Caenorhabditis elegans: one gene and its partners. The protein of the gene in region 1 interacts with the protein of each later gene in a pairwise test. Each region holds a gene or a part of one and is shown in the gene's direction. Other genes may lie near its edges.

What was found.
Region 2: the proteins of cdk-14 (region 1) and W08G11.3 interact in a two-hybrid assay, tested with the Caenorhabditis elegans proteins (one large-scale study listed by BioGRID).
Region 3: the proteins of cdk-14 (region 1) and magu-4 interact in a two-hybrid assay, tested with the Caenorhabditis elegans proteins (one large-scale study listed by BioGRID).

The regions. Positions count from the first base shown.
Region 1 is NC_003279.8:841,242-848,736, reverse strand, and holds cdk-14 (Protein kinase domain-containing protein), read left to right. Parts: upstream 1-1,973; 5' UTR 1,974-1,991; coding exon 1,992-2,141; intron 2,142-2,245; exon of another isoform or gene 2,246-2,566; intron 2,567-2,594; coding exon 2,595-2,654; intron 2,655-2,737; coding exon 2,738-2,807; exon of another isoform or gene 2,808-2,888; coding exon of another isoform or gene 2,889-2,916; intron 2,917-2,975; coding exon 2,976-3,123; intron 3,124-4,397; coding exon 4,398-4,676; intron 4,677-4,724; coding exon 4,725-5,024; intron 5,025-5,639; coding exon 5,640-5,822; intron 5,823-5,875; coding exon 5,876-6,020; intron 6,021-6,062; coding exon 6,063-6,191; intron 6,192-6,760; coding exon 6,761-6,901; 3' UTR 6,902-6,995; downstream 6,996-7,495. Other genes in the region: ZC123.1 (Sperm mitochondrial-associated cysteine-rich protein-like), read right to left, coding at 7,081-7,113, 7,157-7,495.
Region 2 is NC_003283.11:16,365,775-16,372,625, forward strand, and holds W08G11.3 (Trichohyalin), read left to right. Parts: upstream 1-1,906; 5' UTR 1,907-1,934; coding exon 1,935-2,000; coding exon of another isoform or gene 2,001-2,003; intron 2,004-2,612; coding exon 2,613-2,704; intron 2,705-2,875; coding exon 2,876-3,049; intron 3,050-3,829; coding exon 3,830-3,926; intron 3,927-4,084; coding exon 4,085-4,168; intron 4,169-4,220; coding exon 4,221-4,348; intron 4,349-4,444; exon of another isoform or gene 4,445-4,581; intron 4,582-4,632; coding exon 4,633-4,722; intron 4,723-4,779; coding exon 4,780-4,996; intron 4,997-5,062; coding exon 5,063-5,450; intron 5,451-5,775; coding exon 5,776-5,978; 3' UTR 5,979-6,338; downstream 6,339-6,851. Other genes in the region: Serine/threonine-protein phosphatase 2A regulatory subunit pptr-1, read left to right, coding at 1-107, 822-825; srv-34 (G-protein coupled receptors family 1 profile domain-containing protein), read right to left, coding at 6,643-6,851.
Region 3 is NC_003282.8:10,007,889-10,014,720, forward strand, and holds magu-4 (PDZ domain-containing protein), read left to right. Parts: upstream 1-1,864; 5' UTR 1,865-1,927; coding exon 1,928-2,214; intron 2,215-2,574; coding exon 2,575-2,752; intron 2,753-2,794; coding exon 2,795-3,040; intron 3,041-3,118; coding exon 3,119-3,404; intron 3,405-3,447; coding exon 3,448-3,695; intron 3,696-3,745; coding exon 3,746-3,981; intron 3,982-4,025; coding exon 4,026-4,196; intron 4,197-4,249; coding exon 4,250-4,560; intron 4,561-4,605; coding exon 4,606-4,854; intron 4,855-4,900; coding exon 4,901-5,603; intron 5,604-5,646; coding exon 5,647-5,821; intron 5,822-6,011; coding exon 6,012-6,107; exon of another isoform or gene 6,108-6,157; coding exon 6,158-6,226; 3' UTR 6,227-6,319; downstream 6,320-6,832. Other genes in the region: F44D12.2 (DUF7622 domain-containing protein), read right to left, coding at 6,357-6,474, 6,518-6,633.

The DNA.
Region 1 (7,495 bases):
GCCACGTAGAAAATTTTTGAAGCTTTGAAGGATTTGGAGGTGTGGCCTTGAATAAAAGTTGGTGGCCGAATTTTCTCTTACACGGCCAAGTAGTGAAAACCGCCCATCGAAGTGGTCCTGTACTTCAATTTGAGCAAAAAAGTTTTAAAAAAGTTTGTGGCCGAACTTTAGTATGCACGGCCATTTTCCACAAGTGGTTTCTTTTTTATAAAGTTTTGGTAAACCTTTTTTGATAGCCCGAAAAAGTTAGTGGCCGAACTTTCTCTTTTACGGCCACGTAGGTAAATATGCTGGGCCAAATTTTTAGCGTAGAAATTCCAGTGACCTAGTTTTTCCCTCTCGTGGCCTAGTTCTCTAGAAACTCTTCGACATTTGGTTTTTGAGCTAAAATGAGCCAAGAAAAAGCGAAAAATAAGGAACAATAGGCACACTTAGAATGACCAATTACTATTTTATGAGAGAAGCGCCGCCCGTCTTTTTTTTTCTTCTTTTTTCCCTACTTATTCTCTCCTCTGTCCGCTATTAATGCATTTTAAATTTGGCATTGTCATTTTTTGTCATATCTGAAAAAAATTTCAAAATCCCACGGGGTTCTGGCCTTCCTCATTGAATTTTCGCGCTCCATTGACAATCGCCTGCCGGACAACGCTTGGGAAAGTCGTGTACTCCACACGGACAAATACATTTAGTTTTACAACTAAAATCGAGCCGCGACGCGCCGTAAATCTACCCCGAATATGGCCTGGCCTAGTTCGGCAAAAACTCTTCCATTTCAACTTCTGAGGGACGTCAGAAATCCGTGCTAGTTGTGTTTAATTTTTCTTCACACATTTGTTTATGTTTTAGAGTGGCCTATGCAACGACACTCCGATGTTATGCGCGTGTTGTTTAGAAATAAGCCACTAGGTACATACTAAAAACTGTGAAAATTTAGCACCTGGATCGTGGCGAGACCCACTCGGAAAATCAGCGTGTTCCTTTAAACTGACATGTCAAATTTGAGTGATGTCCCTGCATATTCATTTTTGAAGTTCTATCACAGTTGGGGAGTAATGCGAAAACTCTTCCAACTCAAATTCTCCGGTGACCTAAAAACTCGGAAAACTCTTCCACCAAGCAGTGGACATGGACCTTAAATCTACGAAGAAAACATGGAAGGTGTGTAATGTAATTTCAAAAAATTATTTTTTTTGCCCAAAAAAAGGACAGTAATGGCTGAAAAATGGCTGAAAAAAATTTTGGAAACAATGAAAAAAATTGTCTAAATTTGTTGAAAACGGGTAATTCATATATGCAGAATTCAGAAAATCTAGGTTTAGAAAACTATTAAAAAGTGGCAAAATTGAGCAATTTTTGTAAAAAATTACAATTTTAAAACTCTTCTAAAATGGATAATTTTGAAGCTAGAGGACTCAAAATTGATCTCCGAACCTTAAAAATTGTCTTCTTGCATAATTTAGTAGTTTCGAACATTTTCAGAGAAAATTTTTTTTTGCCCGAAAAAAAGGACAGTCATGGCTGAAATATGGCTGAAAAAATTGGGGAAAAAATGTAAAAAATATCTAAATTTGTTGAAAATTTTTTGGGCGAAAAATTCCCGCATTTTTTGTAGATCAAACTGTAATGGGACAGCCCAGGTGTCTCTAAAGATTCCCGGTAACCTAGAAATGCCAAAACTCTTCCACCATCCAATTTCCTCACTCTTCCTGCTTCCTGTTTTTCACCGAACCCACCCAAGTCATTTTTCATCTGTCTTTTTTTTCTTCTATTTTCTTTGTTTCGAAACGGCTGAAAATGGGAATGTGGAGGCTTTAGTAACCCATTAACGCCCCGCCGTCACACCGGCTTCTCCTCTTCTCATTTCGTAGTACGGCTCCCTCCTCCGAGCAGCTCTTCATTTTTCCACCCCCCCCCCCGCTGCTCCAAATTATTCGTTCACGTTCTTTTTCCCCACCCAAAAATTTCACTTGCAGATACCATCTTTCAATCAAATGTGGGGAAAAATAACCTCGCATATTGGAGTATGGTTTGGGCTGGAGGAGGCCGAGAGGCCTATGAGAGCATCGTGCTCACTGTCTATGATACATCATCCACAGCTCACCGCTGTTAGGAGTTCGAAGTCGTCGGAGAACTTGCATAGGGTGAGTTTGGTATTTTCAAGAAAAATCGAAAAACCGAAAAAAATTATAAAAATTGAAATTAAAAAAACGCCTCAAAAACGAAAATTCGTCGATATTTCGATTTTTCGATTTTTCAAAAAGGGTCATTTTTTGAAATCCTAGGCCACAGTCGGTCGGTAAATGAGGATATTTCTTGTAAGCCTAGGCCTAAGCGTGAACCTAGGCCTAAGTCTAAGCCTAAGCCAAAGCCAAAGCCAGAGCCTAATCCTACGCCTGAGCGTAAGCCTAAGCCTAAGCTTAGGCCAAAGCTCAAGCCTAAGCCCAGTCCCAAGCCTAAGCCTAAGCCTAAGCCTAAACCTAAGCCTAAGCCTAAGCCTAAGCCTAAGCCTAAGCCTAAGCCGAAGACTAAGCCTAAGCCTAAGTCTAAGCCTAAGCCTAAGCCTAAATATTTCGATTACGCTCCACATATTCCAGATCACCACAATGTCGCCGCAACGAATTCAGGACGTGGACGGCTCGCCGAGCACCCGGAAGGTCAGTAAGTCACGCCACCCCCTCTAAACTTCCGGCGATTCTGCATCTCTTCCACAAGACACAAACACAAAACATTATTCCAGCCGTCCTCGTCAATTTTCACTTTGCGTCGGAGTCGGAATAAGGAGAAGAAATACAAGAATAACGGCGGTGGCGAGTTTTTTTTTTCGAAATTTTAGCCAATTTATTCTATGGGGTGCGGGGGGTGGCACAAGTTAGTCAGTTTACACAAAAATGCTCTCCAGAGTCTTCTCCCAAAAAGGTTAGTTCCGAAAACATATGAGCCCCCATATAATTCCACATTTATTTCTGTTTTTTCAGGAGGCTCCACCAAATCTCCGATCTCGAAAAACGGAACAAATGAAATGACACAATCATGGCACTCCAATCATGTGAATGGGGCATCATCGGGGTCCGGAAGTGGAAGCACACCAGAACATCATAATAAGAATATTTTCAGCTTTTTGAGGTAAGTGGTGGAGATTCTTATTAGGTTGTATATTGAAGTAAGACTATAATTACAGTAGTTTCGACACCTTGTTATGTTTGTTATAACTTACCACGTGGTGTCAAAGTGCCTCATTTTGGTTTGATCTCCGAGAAATGCGGGAGAAGAGACGCAGACTTTTCAACTGGTATCGCATGGTTAAGAGTGTGCTGACGTCACGTTTTTCTGGGGGAAAAATTCCCGCATTTTTAGTAGATCAAACCATAATGGGGCAGCCTGACACCACTTGACTTACTAGTTATATCTGACCACAGGCAAAGCCGGTACGGTCCGTTTACGGATCTTGGACCGGGAACGGACCATTAACGGGTGAACTACGGATATGAAAAGCGGGACGGACCAATTACGGGCAAACTACGGGGAATGTAAAAAAATGGCCATTAAGAGGAAAAAATGGATTTTAAGAAAACGAATTTTTTTAATACCTATGATACCAGTTGGCTAATTTAAGCATTTTTACGTCGTTAAATGCATTATTTAGAGCAAAAAACACATTTACCGACCGAGACGGCTCTTGAGCCGTAGTTGGGCCGTTTCCGGTCCGTAGAATTTTCTTTTCAAAAAAAAAAAATTTGAATTTCCCGCCAAAATTTTTTTTTCTCAGAAAATTTGATTTTCCCGCCAAAATATTTTTGTCAGATAATTTCAATTTCCCGCCAAAATTTTTTTTTCTCAGAAAATTTGATTTTCCCGCCAAAATATTTTTGTCAGAAAATTTCAATTTCCCGCCAAAATTTTTACAGAAAATTTGAACTTCTCCCCAAAGTTAATTCCCAGAAAATTTGAATTCCCGCCAAAATTTTTTGGTCAGAAAATTTCAATTTCCCGCCAAAATTTTTTTGTCAGAAAATTTCAATTTCCCGCCAAAATTTTTTTGTCAGAAAATTTCAATTTCCCGCCAAAATGTTTTTCTCAGAAAATTTGAACTTCCCGCCAAAATGTTTTTCTCAGAAAATTTAAATATCCCGTCAACACGTGGTGTCAGGCTGTCTCATTGCGGCTTGATCTACAAAAAATGCGGGGATTTTTCCCCCAGGAAAATGTGACGTCAGCTTAATCCTGCAAAATCAGTTGAAAAGTCTTTGTCTCAACTCCCGCATTTTTTGTAGATCAAACCAAAATGGGGCACTTCGACACCACTTACGCCAACATTTTTAATCAGAAAATTTAAACTTCCCGCCAAACTGTTTTTCTAAGAAAATTTTCCGAATCAAACCCTAGTAATACCATTTCAGCCGCCAATCACGTTCCCGCTCCAACAATCCATCTGAAACCATGTCAACCGTGCCCCTAAACAAGAACTCTCCATCAATGCCACCACCACCATCTAGCAACACTGTGGCCGACTTCACACATCTTCGAAGACGTCGACCACGATCAGCACACTACGATCCAAATACGATAACGCTTCCTGCGAAGGAGGAAGTGACACCGCAGGATGTGAATGATCTGTACAAACGAATTGACAAGCTGGGGGAAGGATCTTATGCAACGGTGTATAAGTGCGAATCGAAGTTAGATATTTTAACAGCTGATATTACCAAACTAAATTATATTTTCAGACTTGACGGATCCATAGTCGCCTTGAAAGAGATCAAACTTCAATTTCAAGAAGGTCTCCCATTCACCGCTATCCGTGAAGCCTCGCTTCTCAGAAACCTCCGTCATGCGAATATCGTCTCTTTGCACGACATCTTCTATCAACACCACCAGCTAACTTTTGTGTTCGAGTACATGAAAATGGATTTGAGCAAGTACCTGGAGCAGAACGTCTATGGGTTGGATAGCATTGACATCAAGCTTCTCCTCTTTCAACTTCTCCGCGGACTCGATTTTTGTCATAGGAAGAAGATTCTTCATAGGTTAGTTTTCAAACTGCTCCCTAGTGTTGATAGGGCTCCCAGCAGAGTGAGGCGCGAAATTCGGGCCTCACGCCGACGCCGTTGAAGCGCGAAAGGTGGTCATTTGGAGCGGCCGACACGTTCGGGGTTCCGCAGCTTGGCGTGAAATGAGTAGCCTGGTGTGTGCGCAATGAAGTGCGTAGAAGTGGTTGTTCGGAGCGGCCGACACGTTGGGGGTTCCGCAGCTTGGTGTGTGCTCAACGTATTGCGAAAGGGAGTTGTTTGGAGCGGCGGACACGTTCAGGGTTCCGCAGCTTGGCGTGAAATGAGTAACCTGGTGTGTGCGCAATGAAGTGCGTAGAAGTGGTTGTTCGGAGCGGCCGACACGTTGGGAGTTCCGCAGCTTGGTGTGTGCTCAACGTATTGCGAAAGGGAGTTATTTGGAGCGGCGGACACGTTCGGTGTTCCGCAGCTTGGCGTGAAATGAGTAGCCTGGTGTGTGCGCAACGTAGTGCAAAAAAGTGGTTGTTTGGAGCGGCGGACATTTTCGGGGTTCCGCGGAGGCCGGCGCGGCGACCGCTGGGGTCGGCGGAGGCGCCGTTGCGGCCATAACTCTTGATAAAAACTGATTTTCAGAGATTTAAAACCACAAAACTTGCTTCTCGACGAAGACGGTGTTTTAAAACTCGCAGACTTTGGTCTAGCCAGGGCGAAATCTGTGCCGAGTAGGACATATTCTCACGAGGTGGTCACTTTATGGTACCGCCCGCCTGATGTTCTCATGGGAAGTACCGACTATTCAACTTCCCTGGATATGTGGTAGGAGGATATTATTTTATAAAAGGTACCAACTATATCTACTAACTTTGCAGGGGAGTCGGTTGCATATTCGCTGAAATTTGCACGGGCGCCGCTTTGTTCCCGGGATCCAAGGACTCTCACTACCCCGGCACCAAGGACCAGTTGGATATGATCTTCAGCATTCGGGGTACTCCAGACGAGAAAAAGTGGCCGGAGGTGAGGGAATCTAAAATCTAGAGATAAAGATGTTTGTTTCAGGTAAAGACATTACCAGGCTACACCCCTGAACTGTTCCCCAGGTATCGGGAGTTGTCGTTCATCGCGGTGAACCCGATGTTCACGAAGATTCTGAAGACTGGTCAGGAACTTCTGGGGATGCTTCTTCAGGTAAGTAGACTTGTAAAAACCACTCCTTTAGTCCCGAAAAGACCGAATATCATAATAAAACGTTTCAAAAAAATTTTGAAAATTTTTTATTTACTGTAATTTTACCACTCATAATTTTGGAAGTCGACCAACAAAAAAAAAATTTTTTTTCCTACATTTTTATACTGTAATTGTGTTTTAATTATTTGTATTAAAATATTGTAGGGGTCGGAACATGCGACATTGCTCTAGATTTCCTCAATTGCTCATTTTTCAAAATTTTAGCAGTTTGCCAAAAATTTGACCTGAAATTGTGAAAAATCTAATTTTTTGGATTGTTTTATTATGAAATTTGGTTTTTTTTTCGGATCATTATGTATGTATTTTGACAAAATTTTCACTGGCGCTACTCCACCTTTAAGTCAGTCCAGGCCTACTAGTCTAATCTTTGACAAATCAGTCTTCGCGAGCTATATTGAGCAGCAATCTTTGAGTGCAAGCTCAAGCCGAAAGCTTAAGCCCTGGCTGCAATGCTAGTCTAAATGAATCGACATCGAGCTACACCTATCTTGTAACCCTCAAAATTACAGCTCCGCCCGGAAAGCCGTGTCTCCGCAGCCAGTGCAATGCTTCACCCCTACTTTGCCTCATTCCCCCGCGAGGTTCATCTCCTGGCTCCAAGCCAGTCAATATTCCGGCTCAAAGAGCTGAAAGATCTGCGATCACTATAACGACCAAATCTACTACATCTCCAATTTCTTTACACATATTTTCTTGCTCCAAATTGCTACGGGTGCTAAAAGCTAATATAAATGTATGTATGTACTTATTTGTTTTATTAGTCATGTTGAATTATTATTACGAGGTGGTATTTATGTGATATGTGAGAATCGGAGGGAGTCGCTTCAAGTTATGAACGTGTTCCTGGGCATGGGTAGCATTGCTGAAAACTTTAAGATAAGGAAGCTCATTAAACCAACACCTACCGCTGTTCCGAAGTCTCTCTTCCTCCGCTTCAGACCAGTATCCTGTGTACAGATGTTACAGTCTTCTCCCAAAAAGTTTCTCTTCACTCTATGCCGACACTGTGGGAATGCCATGCAATTCTGCTCCGAGACGTTGATATTCGGCTGCCCGAAGTTTCTCTTGACACGATGTGGCGTGAGCCCAGAGACTCCACACCTCGAGCACTTCTTACGACGGAACACGGCTTCTCGTTTGGTTCTCTTGTCTGCATAGACTTTTTGGAAGACTGCGTACTCGACGTTGTTCAGGCAATCGTCACTTTGTTGGCAGGAGCGGCGTTGCTTTCTGCGGGTCTCGAT
Region 2 (6,851 bases), on another chromosome or scaffold:
CCAAATATGACGCCACTGCCAGTTGCAACTGCAGGTGGCGGTGATAAATCTCCATCTGTAGTGAAGAAATCGTCAACAGGATCAGAAACGACGACGCCGGCTAAAAAGTGAGCAATTTTGGAGCATGGAAATGTGGATTTACGTGTATTTCCCGAGGAGAAGAAGCTAAAACTGACGATTTTGGACATTTTTTTTGGCTGAAATGCTCGGTTTGGAGCATTTTCGCAGTTAAAAAATTTTATTTCCAAAAAAAAACGAAAAATAAATTATTTTGTAAAAAAATCCAAAAAAAAACTTCTTTTTTTTAAATTATGGTTTTCTCATTGAAATCAACAAAATTTCAAATTCGCCAGTTTTTTTTCAATAAAAAAAATAAGATTTTTCAGCGAGAAATTTCGAGTTTTTTCTTGGTTTTTCTACACTGAAAAACCTGAAAAATCGAAAAAAAAATCCTAAAATGTGTGATTTTCACCAATTTTTCACCTAAGAACCGAACAATTGCGATTTCAATGCTAAATATTAGAAAAATCTGCGAAAATGGTCCAAAATCCAGTTTTTTAAAGCGAAACACCCACTGAAAATAAACTTCTCCTCGGAGAGTACACAAGACCACCGTAAATCGACACACAATATCTTACATTTAAAAAATTAAAATTCCTGGAATTTTTTTGGTTGGAAAATTTATTTTTAAGTCAAAAAAAAATCGCTTCAAAAATCGAATTTTTGAAAAAAAAATTGACTTTCCGTAAGTTTTAGCCGAAAAAATACTTTTCCCGTCAAAAAAATCGCTTCAAGACCCAAAAAAATCTATATTTTTTCAGATAAAGCTCCTATCAATCATTTCTTATTCTTCTTCTTCAAAAAAAAAAACTCGATATCAATGGTGATATATATGATGATAAGCACCTCTTCTATTTTTCCAAAATGCTCTCCGTCTCTGCGTCTCCTTCTTATACACACTCTCTCGTCTTCTGCTGCTGGATCGAAACCATTTTATTTGAAATAAAATCAATCGATAATTGTACACACACAAATCCCCGAAAACCCGCTAAATCACACACATTACCCACCCCACCCCAACCAAAAAATAAACGCCATCATTAATATTATTTTTCTCTTTTTTTATTATTTTTCCTTTTTTCCCCCAAATTTTATTGAATTTCTTCCATTTTTCGCCCTCTTTTCTGAAAATTCGTGTTTTTGCTCACCATGTCTTCGTGTTTTTCTTTTCCCTCTCCACTTTTCCCTTTCTCTCTCTCTCTCGTCGTCGTTTTCCACATATTTTATTCCAGATTTTTCTCTATTCATAATATTTTTGTTGTATCCCAAATTCTATTATCGAGTTGCGAACAAATGGTGATTTTTGGCGGAAAATTAGGGTCTCGCCGCGAAAAAACAATTTGCTACAGCACCCCTTTAAAGGCGCACGATAGCGTCGAGACCTTTTTTAATCAAAAATCGATATTTTCTCCGCAACTGGGTAATATTACTGAACTATTTCAGATTTTTAAATATACATTTTTTTGTGCCCCGTTTTATTTTTTTTTGTATGTCTGTTGTCTCTAGTAGTATCAAATATCAATACCAAAAATAATGTATGGAATATTTTTTAATATTAGTGTTGTAAAGATCCCCCTCCTCCTCAAAATGTCCCAAAAATTGCGAAGAAACAAAAAAATTCACTCTCTCCCCCTCTTTCTCTCTCTCTCTGTATGAATTTTTTGTATTTATATACACAAACATACACACACACATACACACCATATATCGATTGAATTGAACTTTTTCCCCCAAATTTTGAATTCTTTGTGCGATTTTTAGACGAATTTTTTCAGTGCTCAGAGACTGACATTATTGTATCATTGACACCAAAATAGTTGGAAAAAAATGGAAAAGAAATTTTCAGAAATTTTCAGACAAAACGGGTCATTATCATGGACAGCGGACGACGAAGCCGTAGTGGATCGAGAGATAGAGATAGTAGACGCAGACATAAGAAGGTTGTGGATTTACGCGGGATTCGTGTACTCCACGAGGAAAAGAGGATTTTTTCAGTTTTTTTTTTGGCAGGAATTCTTGATTTTGGATCATTTTCGCTAATTTTCGCTGATTTTTTCTAAGTATTTTTCTGTTAAAATCCTAAATTCAAAAAAAAATTTACGAAAAAAAAACGCAAAAAGTAAGAACGAGCCGCGACGCGACACGCAACGCGCCGTAAATCTACCCCAGATATGGCCGAGCCAGAATGGCCTAGTTCGGCAAACTCGTCCATTTCAATTTATGAGGGAAGCCAGAAATCCGTGAAAAATCAGAATTTTGTGGATTTTGATGAGAAAAGCTGAGAAATTACTAAAAATATTGAAAAATTGTAATTTTTCCCAAAAAACGCCAGAAATCGAAAAAACCAGAAAAAAATCCTCAAAATCTGTTGATTTATTCAAAAAAAATTTTTTTAAAATTCCAGAAATTCTATATTTGCTTTCTAAAAACTCCAAAAAAAAAGCCAAAAAATTTTTTTTTGAAAAAATCGAAAAAATCCTCTTGCAAAAATATCATTTTCCACGAGGAGTACACAAAGTCCCAAAAATTTCCGTAAAAATCAATAATTTCAGCATAGACACAAGCGTCGATCCCGTACACGGAGCCGCAGTAGATCATACGAACGGAATGGAACGGCTGGAATTCATATTAATCCAGCTTTTGGGTTGGTTTTTTTGTTATTATTCAGGTCTCGAAACGATCGATTTTTAATTACAAAAAGGATTACTGTAATTCCATATTTCTCGATTTTTATAGGGGAAAAACCAGGAAAATTTCGCGAAAAATTGCCCGAAAATCGGATTTTTCCAAAAGTTTCAATTTTCAAAAATTTCAGACTCCCGCCTGGAACCGTACAACCACAACCAATGGGCTACTCGGCGTCACAGCTTTTGCAGACGAATAATATGTTGGAAGCCGAAATTCATCGGCTGAAAGCCGCGTTGAACGCCGCGCAAGGCGGTCAACAAATTGAAGCTCAGCGGTGTCAAATGCTCCAACAAGAATTGCGGTGATTACATGAATAGCTTCTTCTGCTCCTTGAAATGGAAGAGTTTTACCGCGGCCACGACCGCGACGCAGCTGCATGCGCGGAGCGGCTCATCAAAAAAATTAGCTAAAATGATAAAAAAAATCACAAGCCGCTCCGCGAGCAGTTGCGTCGCGGTCATGGCCGCGGCCGAGGTTCCCAGCTCTGCCATTTCAAGATACGAGGGACTCTGGAAGGCCATGCTTCTGCTGAAAAATCTTTTTTTTTTCTGTTTTTCGAGAATTTTTTAATGATTACTCAGATAGTGATTTTGCTTGATGAAAATATTACGCAGCCGCAAAATTTTTCGAATTTCGTGTCAAAACTACGGTACCCGGTCTCGACACGACAATTTTTGTTAAATTCTAACGGTGTGCGCCTTTAAAGAGTACTGTAGTTTCAAACTTTCGTTATCAATTTTTCATAGATTTTTCACGATTCGTAAATATTTAGGGGTTTTTTTACAAATAAATTGATTTTTCACAGTTTTTCGATAAAAAGCGATTTTTTTTGTTGAAACAACTCAATTATTTAGAACAATAAAAACACCTAAATATCTACGAATCGTGAAAAATTGATAAAATTCCGCAAAAATGGGAGTTTGAAACTGCAGTACTTTTTAAAGGCGCACACCTTTTCGAACTTAACAAAAATTGTCGTTTCGAGACCGCGAATGTCGCATTTTTTGCTGATGTGTAATATTTTAGGAGAATTATAGCAAATATCAAGAAAATTTGAAAAATATATCGATTTTTTGCTCAGAAATGCTCAAATCCAACGAGATCAAGCCAACAAACGATGTAACGAGATAATGTCCGAGAGGAGAATGATGAATGATTCGAAAGTTGAAATGGCAAATGTAAGAGCTGAAAATTCTCTCAAAAACTGGCAAAAAATGGTTGAAAAGCAAGAATTTTAGCCAAAAAATGTGAAATTTTTCGAAAAATGAATTCTTACTTCTCCTCGGGGAGTACACGACCTGCGTAAATGGACAATAAATGTTTATAATACTTTCAGCGAATTAATGGACTAGAAGTGGCGAATCGGATGCTCCGAGATGATGTTACCCAGGCGAGAAATGCGACGGAAGCTAAAGAGGAGGTTTTTATATATAATTTAACGGAAAATTTGAAAACCAAAAAAAAAATTCCAGGAAATCCGAGCAATAACGTATCAATCAGAAATTGTTCGCCAACAAATCAACGCTCTGAACGAACGAAATGCGGCGCTCAAGACGAAATGCGAGACGGTAGTGGCGCAAAATCGTCAGCAGCATGAAGAGTAAGTAGACAGCACGGAGGCTGTTACACTGGTGGCGCAGGCGGTAACGCGCTTGACTGCCAGACGGCTGGGGTTCGGCTCGACCCCCGCTGCCGCATGCACCTTGCACTCTACGCCTTTCCTTTCAATGGGTTGGTATGATTTAATAAGGATGCAAGAGAATAGTACGGGAAGTTCGAAGACTTGCGGATTTGCTTCCACGGCTCCGCGAGTTCATAACTGTCACCACAATTAAAAAAAATTTTTTTTTTCTAATGGAACGCATTTTTAAGACGAGATTTCAGAATGGAAGCCCGTCAAAAGTTCGTGCAAGGTGCTCAGTTAAATGTGAAGAAGGCGGAGGCGGATTTGCAATTGGCCAATGCAGAAATTCAGTGAGTTTTGAGTTTTAAAAAAAGTTTAAGTTTCAGAAAACCGTAAACTAATTTCAGACGTCTGCTCCGAGAACTTGACAGCTCTCAGCAGCTCGAGAATTCGAGCATCACTGACAAAAGAAATATCGAAGAAGAGCTCATCCGGAAAGAAGATGAGATCAGATTGGCAAACTACAAATCAGCAACCTTATTAAAAGCGGCAAATGATAAAATCGAAAAACTCGAGTTACGATTGAAACAAGAAAAACCGGCGGTGCACAATGAGATGACTGTGGTAGGTTTAGCAGGAAATTGACAAAAAACCGGAAAAAATGGGAAAAATTCTAATCACTTTCACAAGTTCCAGGAAACAATATACATTGCCATAGAGACTATCAAAACGACGTACGAGAAGCAGCTGTCCAGAATGGAAGAAGAAATTGAGCATTTGAAAGCTGAAAAGTTGAAGCAGGAGCAGCAACAAATAATGATGGAGGAAGAGGAGGATGCAGTGGTTCAGAATCTCGAGGAACTTCCAGCCTATCTGAAGACTCCAATGAGGCCGGATCCAACGAAGATGGAAGGTCTTAAAAAGACTATTCAAGTGAAGATCAGGCTTGATGAAGAGCCCGAACGCCCGGCTCGGCCGGCTAGTGGACCGCCCGTAGATTCACCTGTGACGTGGCATCAGAGAAAGCCGTTCGAACGGCTCCCAGCGATGGTTGTGCCGCTTTTTGGGACAACTGAAGGTGAGATATTAATCAGGCGCAAAAAATACTGTACTCGGTCTCGAAACAACAAATTTTTATTCAGTGAGAAAAGGCGCAAAAAATTGTCGTGTCGAGACCGTACGTACCGAACTTTTGGTGCAAAATTTTACGTCTGTGTGTGTCAGGCTGTCCCATCACGGTTTGATCTACACAAAAATGCGCGATTTGTTTGCCTAAAAAGTGTGACGTCAGCACGTTCTCAACCATGCGAAATTAATTGAGAAGTCTGCGGCATTTTTTGTAGATCTACGTAGATCAAGCCGAAATGAGACACTCTGACACCACGTGAAACTGACATTTTCAGCACCATCAACAGGACCCGGACCATCCATTTCATCCGAAGATCTCATCACTTCCTCGACAATCGAATCAACGTCCGATGAAATTAGCATTGCCGCCTGCAATCAGTTCTCTGAGGAGGATCTGCTGCTCGCCGAGCCAACTGATATGATATCACCGAGTCAACTATTGGATCTCGATGAGCAGACTCTGCTTGGTGGAGAATAATTTATATTTGTATTACGGGGCTTTAAAATTGCTTCAAAATTCCCAAAATAGTCTGAAAATATTTTTTTTGTTTGGAAAAAAAATCCGAATTCATTTTTCCGAATTTTTTTCCCGAATTATGCTGAACAGCTCCCGCCGCAGATTAGCAAAATTATCAACACTTCCCTTTTTAACAATTTTTGATGATTTTCATACTATTTTCGGGAGTTTTTTAAAAGCAAAATCCCGTCCCCCGCACCCAATTTTTAAAATATTCATTCCCTCGTTCCCCCGATCTGAATTTGTTTTACGGTTCTCCGTGCGTGTGTATGTGTCAATTTTAATAGTAATTTTGAATCAATAAAGTTTTATTATAATAAAAATTCCCTCAACATCGATCTCTAGTACTTGACTGCACAATTTTGGGCGCCATTGACACGGTGCTTTGGGATTTCTGAAATACACAGTTTTTTGGGTGAGCTTTATTCGTACACTGCCCGGTGTCAATTTACGCGGCTCGTGTACTCCTCGAGGAGAAGTGGGAATTTTTTTTGGGCGTAAATCTTTGATTTTGCACTAATTTCGTCAATTTTTGCAGTTAACGTCGAATACAAAAAATTTGGCGAAACTGCGCAAAATGAATATTTTCGGCGAAAAAAGTACTGCAAAATCCTCTACAAAAAATTCACACTTTTCCACTACGAGTACACAAGCTTCGTAAATCGACACGTGGCCGTGGAAGAGGTTTTTCTCTGCCATTCTCTGCCATGAGACCTACCTTAAACCGGCAACAAAACGCGCTCTGAACATCCCGATTCATCATTAATAGCATTATTGGATTAATAAACGATAGATTGCCAGATAGTGTTGGATAAAAAAGACGTAACGCCCGTA
Region 3 (6,832 bases), on another chromosome or scaffold:
GAAACGAGCGTGTTTGTCCATGCGTCCCATTCGTACAGTTTCTTTGGTTGTCTACCTAAACTCTCTTGTTTTCAAACACTATTTCACCCACCTTCTCCCGCATTTCTCTTTCACTTTCCGGGAGGAACTGTTCGTTCGTCGTGCGCCCATCGCAACCGACCTGTATCTGTATGTATCCTCTCATTTCTCTCTAATAACCTACTTCTCTTCAATCTACTTGGATACATGATTTGTTATGAAATGTTTTATCTTTTATTATTTCATGAAGTTAGAATGTTCCTTATGAAATTGAGTTTACCATCAGAAGTGGATTAGAATTTAGTCAATGGGATTTCAACTACATTTAAATCTCAGCTATGTATTAAAGATAAAATCATTTTCACAGAAATTTTCTATGAATTGTTACTGATAAACGTCTATTTGTAAATTGTCAACATGCTGTGAAATACACCTAGGACTACTAGCCTGAAATTATTCCTCAACTCCAGTGATAGGTTTCTTTGGTATATCACCCTAAAAACTAGTTACACCTGCCTCGTAGGCACGAAAGTAGGCACCCTCTATTTGCATGGAAGCCCTATTATATTATAGGTAATTTTTCAGATTCACAAGAATGACATGTAGTTCAAGTTCAATTAAAATTCCTACATAAAATTCCCTACTCCTTCTCCTACTCTTTTCATTTTTCTATTTCATCTCAATTCAATTTGAACAAACTTCAAACAATTCGTTTCACACATCACAAACATTGTAAATACACATATATCGTTTGTTGAAAAAAGTCATGTGGGTTTTTAAGGTTAAAGTTTAACCGATTTTATTACACTATCTCTCACGGTTGAAATATTCAAAATAATATTTTCTTCTAGAAAACAGCGTTTCTACATATTCTGTTAAAGCTAACGGCCTAAATTTTAAATCGACTCTATTTTTAAAAAATTGATCAGGTTACCAACTAGCGATGTTTTATATTTTGTTCAAAGGTAGGAGCTCCAAAGTTTGTCAAAAGTCAAAAAAAAAAGCTTAAAGTTTACCAAGAGCCAAGTAAAAATTTATATTATCGAAACATGGAAAAACGTATCAAAACATAGTTTTTTGTTAAGATTCTCTGCCTTGTATGTTTGTATTTGAGGCGATGATGATGGCAAGACTCGTATGTTTATTCTTTTCCTTTTCCTGCAAACTCGTCTTTTAACGGATTATTTCGGACCCATGCACCGCCCATCTTGACCGTATTAAGACAGTTTTTGTGTGAATTTTCGTTGGATCGAAACACTGTGAGTATTGTTTTTATTTTGAAATATATGGATCTTATAATCTGAATGTTCAGTTGGAATATCGCAGTGTGGCTTTTGATCTCCGCACACACTTCATCTGATTGGTATAAAAATATGTGGAACAAATTACTGATTATTTTCACAGTTTTCATTTTGAAAGAAATTCAAACAGTGAGCTTAGTCAGGTTTTGGGAAAATCGTTATCGAAAGTTGAGTTTTTCAGTATTTCTAGTTTTTTTAGTGTTTCGTTTGTGGTATATGTTCCTTCATTTCATTAGCAAAACAATAACGTTGGTCTGTATTTCAAAAATCTGTCATGTATTTCCAAAAGAATATTTAAAAACATCTCGTTTCTATTTTCAAGTGCCTCTATTTTCATTCTTGTAGTAACCTTCAAATTCCAACTAATTTTAACTGTTAATTGAAGGAAATTTCTTCAAATTGTGTTATTTCTAATTCACCCGTCTTCTTCTTTTCCTCCATCTATTCCATACGAACCGAATGAACAAATCAGTGTGATATTCCTGCGCATTCGACCGGTTTCTCACTTATTTTCTTTCTATCTTTTCTCCTATTCCATCTTCTATAATTAGTCCTTTCCGTATGTCGTCCAGTTGACCCATTTCTCCGTTTTTCATTCAGAATTCTATATGGTAGAAGTGGAAGCAAAACCGTCGAGTTTGTCAGTTGAAGAGGATGAAAATGAAAATGAAGAGGAAAAGCTTGAAGATGTGGAAAAAGAGAAATTAGTGAAACAGTTAAAGTTTGAAAAAGCAGAACGAAGACGGATTGCAGAGGAAATGGAAAAAGAGATTCGAGAAGTTGAGGCAAAATGGATGGAAAAAGTTAGAAAAGCATCTGAAGAGCGAGATGATATTGGAAAGAAAATTGATGAGTTTGAAGAGAAAATTGATAGTCTACAAATACAAGTACATAGGTTAGTTCATGATTTAAATCACTAGAAAAGCTCAAAAATGTTTATTGAAAATTAAAAAGACCTGGAATTGGTACCAAAATGTATATGATAAGTGGTAGTTAACTTCCTGAAATTTCGAAATAAAATCAATATGTCATTTTTGAGAGAATTTGTTGGTGCACTTTAAACTAGAGAATTGTCGATCTGAAACTTTTCGGGCCAGTTTTTAATCATAATGATGTTGTAAAAAATTTGAATGGCTTTAAAAATTTGAAATTCAAGTTTTTTTAAACGTTCGAAAATAATTTTCAGCAGAAGAAAACTAATAAATATTTAAAAACCATTGGAAAATGGCCCGTTATGAAAAAAAATATATTTCAGAAGTGAAACATATAAAATGGAAATTGAAGAAGCGAACAAACGGCTACGGTTACAATATGAAGCTCTCCAGAGAGATTATGAGGAAACAATGCAGGAAAGAAGTATTGTATTAGAAGAAAACTCTCGTCAAAATGAAGAGAGGGATCGACTGCAAAAAGAAATTGAAAAAATGAAAGAGGTTTGATTTTACAATGACAATCAAATTAAAAAAAAATTTCAGGATTCTGAAGAAGTTGCTGCATTAAAACAGAAACTTGAAAATACAAGAAGACTCTTGAAAGTCAATATGGAAGAAACTGCTCAGGCAAATGCTCGAAAAGAAGCTGCAATTGCAAGGCTTACAGAAGCAGAACAAAATGGAGCTAGAATTACAGAAGAAAGAGATGAAGCTTTGAGAAAATGTCAACAGACAACTGGAGATGCAATTGTGGATATTTGGAATACTCATTCTGTTCAAATTAATTTGGTAAGTTGAAAGAAAACTCATTTCAATCGTTTCGTTTCAGACAGCCAAGATAAAAATTAAAAACGAAATTAATTTCAGCCCTTCAACAAACCAAACTTGGGAATTATGCTTGGTGGAGGCCGTACGGACGATGGTTCAATTGTTCATGGTCCAATATATGTTAGACAAATTGCTCACGGTTCTCCATTTGATAATGTATTGAAAAAGCTGGATCATATAATGATGGTCAATGACATATCTGTAACAGATATGGACGAAAGAAGTGTAATGGGAATGTTATCCAACTGTCATCACATTCATCTTGTTATTAGAAGAAGATCAAATTGCAATAAAATTAGTGATGTTTGTCTGCCATTGAACTATGGTGAGTTACTTATTACATTTAAGAGTGTAGTTTTACATTTCAGGTGTAGGTCTTGAACTATCCAATGGAGTATTCATTAATTCCTGCGAACCAAACGGTGCTGCTTCTCGTAGTGGATTGGCTCCAGGGCAACGAGTTGTTCATGTTATGCACACTCCTGTTTATGATGCTAAACATGCTGAGATGCTAATTAAAAATTCTCGAGAGCCTCTAGTCATTGGAATTCTTCAATCTACTAAACGAGGTGATCATAATGGAAAGGATAAACATCGACAAACTATATTTTCGAGGGTAAACCTTCGTTATAAAATGCTAGTGAAACTTTAGTATTCTTGTTTCAGTGGTTCAGTCGAAATGGTGGATCTGATAAAGAGCGAACTGTTGTTGCAAAAGCGAATATTGATCGTTCAAATGATCAAGTTCTTCTTCGTCAGGGATCTCTGCGAATGCCACAAGCTTCTCCAGCATCAATGAGTCCCTTGGTACGGTATGGTTCTCTACGTGCTCCAACCTATTCAAGTAGCATTGATCATACAAAATTAATGCTGGATGCACTGGATAAAAGATTCAATGCAAAGTTAGTTTCCTTCAAATTTGATTACTACAAAGTTGAATGTTCAGATCCACAGCGCATTCTGAAATAAGTTCATCTTCAACAGCCGCTCCAACAGCTTTATGGAGCCCATCTTCAGTTAATGAAAAAGATCTCGTATTTGCTGGAACCAATATCGAAGGAGTTCCAGTATATGTTCCTAAGAGTACCATATTTAGCACACCAACGTCACCTGTGACGTAAGATTCTTGACATTTTTAGTCAAAAAAAAGAAGAAAACTCTGACTTTCAGAAGACTAATCCGTCAAAATAGTGAGCAAAAACGAACAATGTCTCAAATATCATCTCATCGAGGAGGATGGGATGGAAGAAGCTTTTCATCGAACACGACAACTTCAGATGCTCGTCCATATTCTATGCACTTCACACCTACATCATCAACTATAATGGAAGGAAAACCCCACAGAAGATCAGCTGTTTACAGTCCAAGTCATCCACCAGTATATCCTACAATTCGGGATGACTCTATGTCTTCTGTTATGTCTTCGAGTAACTCCATTCGACTTCCAAGCACAAGTTTTTCCAATCAGTATCCTAATAATTGTAGGTTTTCAAAAGTTAACTGCTGTAGTCTAGAAATTGTTTCAGCTACCTGCAGCTTGACTGGAGGGAGTGGAGTACCTCCACGTCATTGCATAAGTAAAGATGGAAGTGATTTTTCAATTTCAACAACTGGAAGTGCAATGCACAGTTACGCTGAGGGAAGATCCAATAAGAAATATCACTTGCCACGTGGAAATCATCACTCTGAATCTCTTCTTGTAAACCGTTCATCTCAACCGAGACTGGTCGAGGTTCCAAGAAGTGATGTAAAACTTTGTGGTGGAAATGCGATTGGTACGAGAAAGCAATTCATGTCAAAATAATCTCCGCTATATTTTAGGTATCCTCGCTGAAAAATCAATTGGTTCTGACCTTCTCGAAGGAGATCTCATTTTATCAATCGATGGAAATTGCGTTCGAAATACAACACTCGAGTGTGCAATGAATACTTTATCAGCTGATAATTCGGAGTTAACAGGTCTTCTAGTTCAAGACGGTGGAGATCGATTGAATCGTTTGAGACTTGGAGCTGACGGTGACAGTTTCTTCCTTCGTGTTAATATCGATAGATCAATGGAGAACAAAGATGAACTGGATTTAAAATGTGGTGATGTTGTTTTCGTTGACAAGACTATGTTAATGGGCAAAACTGGAAGATGGAGAGCATGGAAAGTGGACAAAGAGGGACGACAAAGAGAACATGGAGCTATTCCAAGTTCAACGACTGTTTATCAGGCAATTCGAGCTAACAGATATGCAAATCCGTTCCCGAAGAAGGCTTATGAGTGGGTTGAGAAGTTGGATACAAAAGTGAAACGACCGGTTCTTTTGTTTGGAGCAGTTGTTGAGCCTTTCCTTCAAATGCTTGTTGATGAATCTGATAAGTTTTCAATTGTTGCAAGAGAGTCTTTAACTGCAAGTTTGGATGAAGTATCGGCTTTATTGAAGGATAAAGTATTGATTGATTCGAAACAAAACGATGATGTTTATGATCTTTATCACGTCGTATCAACTGCTCATATTATGGATATCACGGCTCAAGGGTTGAGTTTTCAAACATTTTCATAGTTATGCTGAGATTTTCAGACTCCATTGTGTCCTCCAAGTTGATCAGTCTGCAATTGATCGATTGAAAAGATGTAGAATGTTCCCTATTCTTGTGAAGATTCGATTCAAGTCAGTTAAACAGTTAAAAGATGTCAATGAACATATTTGTGGAGAGAAAATCAGTTCAAAAGAAGCCAAACAGCTTATTGAAAAGGTACGGTAATTTACGAAAACATAATTAACCCGCCCGGTCTCTACCGTCGTCTCATTGCCTCTCATCCAAAAACGCAGCGGGCAATTGAAGAGGCGGATCAGAGGCTCTCATCGGAGTCTATAGAAACTTTTCACAATACTTTTTCGAAACTTTTCAAAAAATTTTCGATATACCAATAATTAATTTTCAGGATTTGAAAATAGAAAAAGATCTTGATGGATCAGTTACACTTGTAGTGCCAAGTCATAATAATGTCAGCTTCATGATGACTCACGCTGTTCTACAGGTAATTATTCTTTCAATTCGTGCCGCACTTAACTTTTTATTATTTTTCAGCTGAAAAAAATAATTGAAGACGAGCAGAAAAAAATCGTATGGGTTCAAAGAAAAGTCGATGAAGAATAAATAATATTGAGAAAGAGAACATAGAATCTCCGGTGCTTTTATTGTTTGAAAATGAAGTAATTTGAAGAAATATAAATTTGTTCATATGAAAATATTGAAAGCATTTGTAAAAATGAAAGAAAAAGGTGGTTCAGTGGAAAAGGCAATAATTAATTAGAAAAACGATGGGAATGGCAAGAAAAATCGAGGATGACGAGCGAGCGGAGTCGATGTAGAAAACATTGAACTCTCGGAGATTTGATATATTTCTGAAATAATCAAAATTATTTCTCAGTTGTCAAGAGTCACAACCTGTATAAATATAGCTCAGGTGGCCAAGAGAGTTCAGCTGATTTGAGATCAGCATTACAGTAAGATTGATCACAAATCCATTGCTCTAAGCCAGTGTATGCACGGGTGTAGCCAATCTGAAAGCAATAATTCGTAAAAATCTGAAATCTGATAATAATCGTTTAACGTCTAATTACATCATCAGTTCATTTTTTAAAGTTCTTTAAAAATTATCAGAAACATGTTCGAAATTTTATCCAAAATTTTCATAAATTCGAGTCGATAATTATTTTCTGTTTTATTTAAGGCTCAAAAGGATTTTTGAAAAATTATGTG